2 linked regions of the Daphnia pulex genome follow. Each later gene encodes a partner of the first gene's protein in a complex. Links are inferred from orthologs where the notes say so. Each region holds a gene or a part of one and is shown in the gene's direction. Other genes may lie near its edges.

The links.
Region 2: the proteins of voltage-dependent calcium channel type A subunit alpha-1-like (region 1) and uncharacterized protein LOC124203590 are in contact, whole or in part, in a crystal structure (PDB 4Z8A), measured with the Drosophila melanogaster proteins. The link is inferred for Daphnia pulex from reciprocal best matches to the Drosophila melanogaster genes cac and Rbp. Residues at the interface, in NP_001245639.1 of Drosophila melanogaster: Ile1688, Gly1689, Arg1690, Arg1691, Leu1692, Pro1693, Pro1694, Thr1695, Pro1696, Lys1698, Pro1699, Ser1700, Thr1701, Leu1702; in NP_732029.4 of Drosophila melanogaster: Ile1353, Leu1355, Tyr1356, Tyr1358, Leu1363, Pro1365, Asn1366, Val1367, Asp1368, Val1372, Glu1373, Thr1378, Gly1379, Asp1391, Gly1392, Phe1393, Leu1404, Pro1406, Ser1407, Asn1408, Phe1409.

What each region holds. Positions count from the first base shown.
Region 1 is NC_060024.1:7,077,759-7,081,575, reverse strand, and holds part of voltage-dependent calcium channel type A subunit alpha-1-like, read left to right. Parts: intron 1-138; coding exon of another isoform or gene 139-177; intron 178-1,577; coding exon 1,578-1,825; intron 1,826-1,903; coding exon 1,904-1,913; intron 1,914-3,106; coding exon 3,107-3,297; intron 3,298-3,504; coding exon 3,505-3,620; intron 3,621-3,698; coding exon 3,699-3,793; intron 3,794-3,817. UniProt on the Drosophila melanogaster protein: Voltage-sensitive calcium channels (VSCC) mediate the entry of calcium ions into excitable cells and are also involved in a variety of calcium-dependent processes, including muscle contraction, neurotransmitter release, gene expression, cell motility, cell division and cell death.
Region 2 is NC_060026.1:13,166,510-13,171,026, reverse strand, and holds the start of uncharacterized protein LOC124203590, read left to right. Parts: upstream 1-1,695; 5' UTR 1,696-2,095; coding exon 2,096-2,923; intron 2,924-4,164; coding exon 4,165-4,284; intron 4,285-4,371; coding exon 4,372-4,517.

The sequences.
Region 1 (3,817 bases):
TAATTTGTCTTTTATTTTTTTCTTTATTTATTTCATTCACAAAACACACCGCCTTTTTCTTCCTCTCTTTTTCTCTCTGCATTACGGTGGTTTCGTCGCTCAAATGGATATCTCTTGGTTGGTTGTGCATTTTTCCAGGAGAAGCCGACCACCGCTCAGTGTTCTGCTCCTGAAGCGGTAGTAATCTCAAATCTCAATCGTTTCAAACAAAAAAACCAAAAACCAACAAAATCTCTTCTTCTCGATCTCTGCCATTTCACCCACGCTTGAATATCTCTAAGAACGATTTTTTTTAAAGAGCTTTCTTTTTCTCAGATCCGCTTCAGGCTAAAATAAGAATGTTTATTTTTTGACTATCCTTCAGCTTTGATTTGTACTAGTTATTTATGTGTTTTCAGCTAGTCGGTTGGCAGTAGATAGGATCTTTATTGGCATGCGCTCGTTGAATGTGATCTAAATGTTGCTGTGCATAAGATTTCTAGACCTAGTTATTGAGTTTCAGTCAACGACTGACGCTTTTAGGACAATTTCAACATGAAAAGCAAATCGAAAAACAGGTAAATGGTCCGTCAAGGGATGGGTTCTATGTTGTTCTATCATCCTTGAAATATTTCGTTCGTTTTCAACCATTATATATTGACTCTCCTTCGAAGGCACATGTTTCATAGCATGATTCAATGGATTGCATGATTTTATCCTTAGTTTAACTTCCATCTCCCTCCCATCCAAACACCGACAGCAAAATCAACAGAAAATAATCTGCAGAAATCAGTTAATTCAGAGGTTTTCTTCCTGAACAGTACCACAACTATTTTTGCATTTGGCGCGATAAATAGCCTACATATAGAACATACTTTTTTCTTCTTCTTCTGGATCGATCTGATTCCAATGTACATAATAATATGTCAAATCTTTTTAAAAGCTTAATAATATGAAGCAACTAACTAGTGCTTGTTATACGACACTTTAAGTTATGCTTATTCTTAAAAAAAAAACATGCAATTGCCGGTATATTTATGTATACCGTACACAAAAAAAGTGCCGAGAGATATCGCTCGCTAAAGAAATATTTTTCATCAATTGTAATAACTAACGATTCAAAATCGTGAATGAACCACAATTTGAATTTTACAAAAAACAAAAAAAAAAAAAAAATAAATGCTTATTAAACATTTTAAATGGAGAAGGATCTCTTTTATGAGCGCTCTCATCATCACTATCTTGCCAAAAACTAGATGAATAGGCAATTTTTTTAAAACGCTTTAGACATTTCAAGAGACATTGATTTTGCGTTTGACGGTGGACGTCAAACACAAAGCCAATCGAAAATTCAAAAGGAAAAAAAATGTCATGACAATACCATTAAGAATGATGCAAATTTTGCGACATGCTGTCTCACTTTTTTTCTCATAAGCATTATCTATTCTGATTTGCTTGAGTCTTGGTCTTGGTATACCGGTATATTCCTTTTTTTCTTCTACCTTAAAATTTGATTTTCTCTTGTTTGTTTTTTAAATTATCGCCATCAACCCTTGCGACTGGCTCGATTTGGGCCGCAATTCGATACGTAACAACAGAAACAGTCGCTCTTCGAACGCTTAATGGGAAGTATGGCCCGCACGGGCAGCAACAAAGGCTCGCTAAGTCACCCTCATTCCCATTCTCACCCTAATTCCAACTCCGGTTCCACCACCTTGGCAAACCACGGCAGCGGCGGAATTCACCAAGAGGAGAAAGAGGCTAGCACGGTAATCGATCTCATTCCGGGAGCCCCCGCCCCCGATCGCTTCGCCGCAGTTTTCTCCAACCAGCCTAATTCCTCAAGGTAAAACAAATATCACTTCACCTGTGCCTTTACCAACTTCAAACTCAACTGTTTTTCTTTTCTATTGATTTATTGCAGCTCTAACAAGGTGACCTATGGCAGTGATGCCGAATGGACTAAGGCGCATAGAATGACTTGTGACGGTGGTGATAGTGTGGTGTTAGTCAGACGTAGTATTAGACCTAGTAAGCTGTCGACTGGATGGATGTGCAATGACTATAACGTTAGCTACTTACTACAGCAACACGTATCTCTCGAGTAGAACACACAGACAACACACTACAAATTTAATCTTAAAACAACAACGTTTCCTCAACCTTCGGTACTAAATTGAAGGTCTGCATTTCCATTGAATCCACCCTACTTCTTTTTCGACTTGACACAAGTTATTCTCAAAAAACGGCCAAGGCTTGTCATTGGCATTGTTAGTGAAGCAACTCGTACGATTGGAGTCCACTGGTTACCCAACTGTGAACCATTGTGACCATTATTGTAGAATCGTGGACTTGTTATCCCATTCTGTAGCTTAATTTTGTGCTGTTTATCCAGACTGATATACTTCATTCTATTTTGCAACACATTCGACTACGTACAAAAAAAAAAAAAAAAAAAAAAAAATACGCCAAATATTGGTCATCTGCTTTATGAGCTCTTGCCGAGTTCTATAAATCAAAAAAATGACTGGATTTTTGTTCTTTCTTAAAAAATTCAGCCAACTATGAGACTCTTTTGCAATGGGAAAAAGAACTAAGCGAGAAACATTTTTCAGAGACCCTCCAGTCTATATATTTTAGGTTACCTGTTTGTTTGTTGCGTAAAAGGTTACGGTAAGTCACGATTTGATGTTTGCCATTTGATCTTATTAACTTTTTTTTTCAACATTTATTTTCCTTACCATTATTTATATATCCAATAAGAAAATGAGTCTTTACACTTCAAATGATGTTCACCAGGTAGGTGTGTAGCTTGTACAGTATACGGGGCTCTTCTATTTACCTTATTTTTCTTCTCTATTTTCTTACTACATTATTACGCTTTTTTACATCAATCCTACGTCCCTCGTAGTTGGTTTGGGCGCATCTCGGTGTATTATTCGCATACTCATTTTGTACATATTATAGTGGTAGAAAACTTCGAAAAAAATCATTTCCGAGTTTTTGAGCTGAGTTCATTTGTTTTCGCACTTTTGGCAGCTTTATGAGTTGTCGATCCAATGTGGTGAGATCCTCCTGGCAGACGACTTTTAATGGAATGCCCTTTCCCCCTTATTGAAATGTACAGGCCCTGGAGATACTGACGGATCAACTCGATCACCAGCACGATTCACGGCCGCCGTCGGTTGAATCCGCAAGCAAAGTCATGCACCGACTCAAGCCTGAGGGTGAGGCTGGCATGCACCGACCAAACAGCAGGGCCTGGTCACCTTCACCTTGCGCTTTGCGACGATCTCACTCTCCACAACCTCACTACAGGTAATCACAATGAATTAGACATGACGTCGCTTATAGAACACCATAAGGTACGTAAATTATAGCGAATTATAGCGAAATATAGATCTTCAGACGGTGGCTGTAATTAACTAAATCTTACTCGATCTTACTAAATCAAATCACTTTGACTCAACATCTTAGTTTCTTTAAGAGGTTAACATGTAATTGTGTCTCATCTTGGCGACATAGGAGAGACATGTCTCCTTTGCCTCCACGGCGGGCGCACGATATTGGTTTCAGCGATGCTGTTTCGGACGTGGTCGACATTGTCAAACACGAAACGAGTCGCAAGGGACGAGCGAGAGGTAATTCCACCCCGACACAACGAAAAATTCATCTCCAAAATGGCCACAGTTGTGTCAAATGCTTGCTTTGTATCGTAGCCAAACTGCGCGGCGACGAGTACAGCCTTTCCCGCTGCCGAACGCCCACACGCCAGGAGAGACACGTTCGCTCTCGGATGATTCATCCTTCGATGGTAATGATTTCATTCTTCCTTTGT
Region 2 (4,517 bases), on another chromosome or scaffold:
GTGTGTGTGACGTAGTTTGTTTTAAAGGTCGTTTGGGGGATTGGCCTGGATGAATGGCGCATTACGTGTCCGTCTTTCCTAACAAAAACTTCCTGGTGCGTGAAATGTTTTAACTTTAGTTTGTATCCTGTTGTCTTCCAGGCCGGCACCAATAATATGCCATCCACCACCACCACCACAAAATGGAAAAGGATTTAGAGAAGACGAGCCGGAATCGATCCATTTCCGGCGGGGAGAGCAACAACAATGAAGAACTGGTTTCGATGGACGTCGAGGAGGAATCGGAAGCCTCCACCGCTTCCAGTTTGAACCAACAACAACAGCAACAACAACAACGGAAGCTCTGGCGGAGTAAATCCACCGTCCGGTCGCAAGAGTCGAGTCTGGAAGCGGCGACGGCCGTCACCAACGACGAGTTAAAAGAACTCAAACAATGGTTCCAGGTACAAAATATAATCAAATATGTAACATCTGTCCAGTTTCTTTGTAACATCTTTGCCTAAAGAAAGAAAAGCCTTTCGGCCCAGCTGAAAAGGAATTATTTATTATTTTTCTCCTTTTTCTTCCCCCTCTCCTGTGGAATGCTGGACACGGCCGGGGGCAAAGAGAAAACGAGTCCAGACTGTTCAAATGACTTTTTGGCTTGGTGGTGGTTGTACATAAAAGAAATTCCAATTTATCTCTCGATGCCGAGTGTGTCTGTGTGCGTGGCGGACGGACAATTTCACGTAGGCGGGCGATTTGAATGATGAGGAATCGTTTGTGCAATTGTGTGTCGACCACCCCCCAACACAAACAAGTTTGCCCGTTACGCCATTTTCACGGCTCATTTGACGTTTCACAAAAGAAAAAAAAAATTAATTTTTTTTATTGGCCGTTGGCGGCCCGGAATTGCTTGTTTTTTATTATATTTCTGCCCGTCTCTTTTTTTGTTGTTGTGAAAGATGATGATGATCATCTGGCGGGAAATTTAAAGTGGGCACAAATAAATAAATAAAAAGAAAACTAGTTGGTCGCCTGGAGGCGAACTGGCCGTCTTCCAGACGGGCCAAAAAGAAAAACAAACAAATTTCAAGTTATTTCTAATTTTATTCTGGCCGTGTGATGAATTGAATTTTCCATTTGATTTGATTTTTACAGTGGGAGAAGAGTCTGTCGATCGACGCGGCCATCCACCAGGAGCGTCTGGTTTGGCAGCGGCAGCAGCGCGGGACGCGGTGCGGAACGGTGGCGGAGAACGAGCGGCTCAAGGAGCGGGTCCAGGTGCTGGGCCACGAGAATTACGAATTGACTCGGATGCTGAAAAACGAGCAAATCCGCAACCGAGACGAAGACGCCAGTCAGCGGCGCTGCCTACGCCAGGCGGCCGCCAAAGCCCGGCTGGAGACCAGGGCCGCCCGTCGGCTCCAGGTCATGGAAGCTGCCGCCGTCCAGCAAGCCCAGCTGCAAATCAAACAGCTTGAAGAGGTTTTATTCAACAAAAACAAATCAAATCTATTTCCTTTTTTAAATTCAATTTCCTTTTGCTGGACAACAGACGATCGACGAAAAAGATAAATCGATCGCCAAACTGGAAGCGGAAAAATATTACCTGGGCGAACGCGTTTTCGAATTGACTGGAGTCGAGGAAGGTTTCTGGAGCGACGAGGTTTTGGTAAATAACAAAAAAAAAAAACAATTTGGATTTTTCACACTTTTATCATTTCCGGATTCCATTAATCCTCGTTTAACTGGAACACAAATAGTTCGATAATGACGTGTGGGATTTTTAGACACGACCGTGAAATCCTACACCCCCCCGGGTGGGAGGAGGGATTTTTATTCTATAGCGTCAAATGGAATAATAGCACCTGCGTTTTTATTTATTTTGAAATGAAAGGCGAGTCGTCGTCGTCGTTTTTCATTTTTCTATAAAAGACGGACGTTTACATTGGGTCGAGTTTAGTCACAACTTATCCGGCGTCACTTGCAAGTTGCCCGTCTCTTTCGCCACATGTGTGCACAGTTTATGCACTGCCAGATGCGGGATTGACGTCATTCGCCCGTTTTTTGTTCAACCGGATTGGATTTCGTCCACTTTTTGAAAGAAAGAAAAATGGCTGACGGATGGATTCCGGCGGACAATGGAGGAGCCCACAAGGATCTCAGGAGGAGGATCTCGAATTCGGCCCAAAGTTTGAACCGATTCGTCCGGCTGCCCAAACCCAAAAAGTGTCGATCGTGGGGCCGTCAGTTGTTGCGACGCTGGTCCAGCAGCGGTGCCAGTCTTTTCGGAGGATTTTTCGCTTCCACTCCGTCGGCCGGTGGATCCTGCGGGAGGAGTGACGTGAGGAATCCGGATTCTCCTCCTCGGTCGCTGGACGCGGATGTTTTCGCTTCGCTGTCGTCGGATTACGTCCACTTTGGGACGGCCACGCCCCCTCCTAAGCCTCCGCGAGTCCGTCGGTGGTCGACAGTCAGCGATGGATCCTGCCCAACCGACTGTGAAGGATCGCTCACTTCTGTGCAGTCGAGCGGATTACTGCAAGAGGAGGAGGAGGAGCGACGGTTGTTGTTTTTAAGGTTCCAGCTGGCGGCGGGCGCAGCTGGATGTTGTTCCAGCGTCGAGTTGTCGGTTGGGCCGGCAGATGGCGTCGGCCAATCCTCAGGTGCCGTCGCCGACGACGTGGGAGAAGAAATCCAAGGGGCGGAGTCATTGCGGACGAGTGGCGATGAAACGCATCCATCCGGTGCGGATGAAGAAGATGACGACGACCAGCACGACGACGGCAGCAGCAACGGCCACGACTGGATCGTCACGAAAAGAAAACTGTTGCGTCCATTATCACCGCCGCCGGCCACCTCTCACCACCACACCCACGGTGACTTCCGCTTGGAGGACGCCCGTCTCTTGTGGCTGGGCTGGCGACTAGGCCGTCCGGAGGTATGAAGGCCTTTGCCCGGTCGCATCCGCAATTCCGCTCACGATTTCAACCCCTTCCAAAAAAATAGAAATCGATGGGCCGCCTCTTAGATCACTGGGTTTTATTTGCATAGACGGCCCGGAAGGAGTCAGAGGGGACTACAGAGTTGTTCAAACACTTTTGGAATTTTTATTATTTATTCCGGCGGATTATTTTCTTTTTCTGAGATTGCCGCTGGCCCATTTGTTGCGGTTTGATGGACGGAAGAATAGAAGAAGAAATATCACCCGGCCCGGATTGCGTGCTGGGCGACGACCCCGAAAAAATTTCAAAACGACAATTGTCAAATTTTTTGACGGCCTTCAACTTTATTTTTTTTGATTTATTTTGGCGTGTCCGTCGGTTATTATTATTTGGCCGTTCCAACTGCGATTGGTCCGTTTCTTTTTCTACAAAAAGAAAAAATGGCCACGGTCACTCTCCTTTTGTGGTTTACATTTTTTTTTTTAAAGACGGCCCTGTCCAATTTTTTCCTACGAATGGAAAGAGAATGGAAGAATCTTTTGGAAAAACTGGAAGAACTTCCGTTCGGCCTTGAGGGTTTTACATCCCCGACACATTACGTCAAGTTAGGAGTGGGGGGGAGAGAAAAAGTTAATTAACTCTGGTCCCGGAAGTCGCAGTGAATAGAAAATTTTTTTTTTAAATTTAATTAGAATTAGAATTAAATTATTTGAATTTTAATAAAATTTACAATTCCATTTGGCGGAATTGAAAGGAAAAGAGGAATTTAGACGAATAGCAGTTGCCACTACTGTTGTTGTTGTCAATGTTGTTGAGGGTTTCTCTGTTGGGTTGTGCTGGGCCGTGTGTACCTGGCCGTGTCCGGGGGGCCAACGGGAAATGCCTGGAGGAATGTTTTTTTAATTTTCACGTTTTATTATAACCCTCCTCCCACTTTTCTCCCTTCCCCCCTCTTCCTACCATCCTACCATCCACCTTCTGGTTTTCCAGCAGCAACAATTGGGTAAAGTCATTCGCTGCTGCCGGCCAGCCGAATCAGTTCATGTCGAAACTTCATTGACTCGAGTTTATTTTTATTTTTCTTTGCCCGTCTCTCTTTGTGTGCCCGTTTGTTAGTTTGAATCGAACTGAGAGTGGAAGAAAACGATTTAATTTTTTGGATTATTTCGCCCGTCTGTGATTGTTAGTTTTGTTAGTTTTGCCCGGCTGAAATTGGATTTTCAAAATTTTGATTCAGACGAAGCCGGTGATATCGGAACGAGAGCGCGGACTATTGCAACGGGCCAACAGCCTCAATATCCACATCAGTCAGCTGCAACGGAACCAACGGATCTTGTCCAGCGAGAATGAGCAATTGGTGAACACAAATCAAACCAAACCAACTGGCCCGTCGTGGGAAAATCAAATTTTCATTTTTATATTTTTTCTTTTGTCATTTGTTTAGAAACGTCAAATGGAGATGGAAAGAGAGCGGCCGGCCGGCCAGCTGCAACGGGAACGTGAGCGTCAGCAAGAGCTGCAACTGCTGCGCAGGAAAAATGCCGAGCTGGCCATGCAGACGAAGAAACTGGAAGAGAAAGTCCGCAGTCT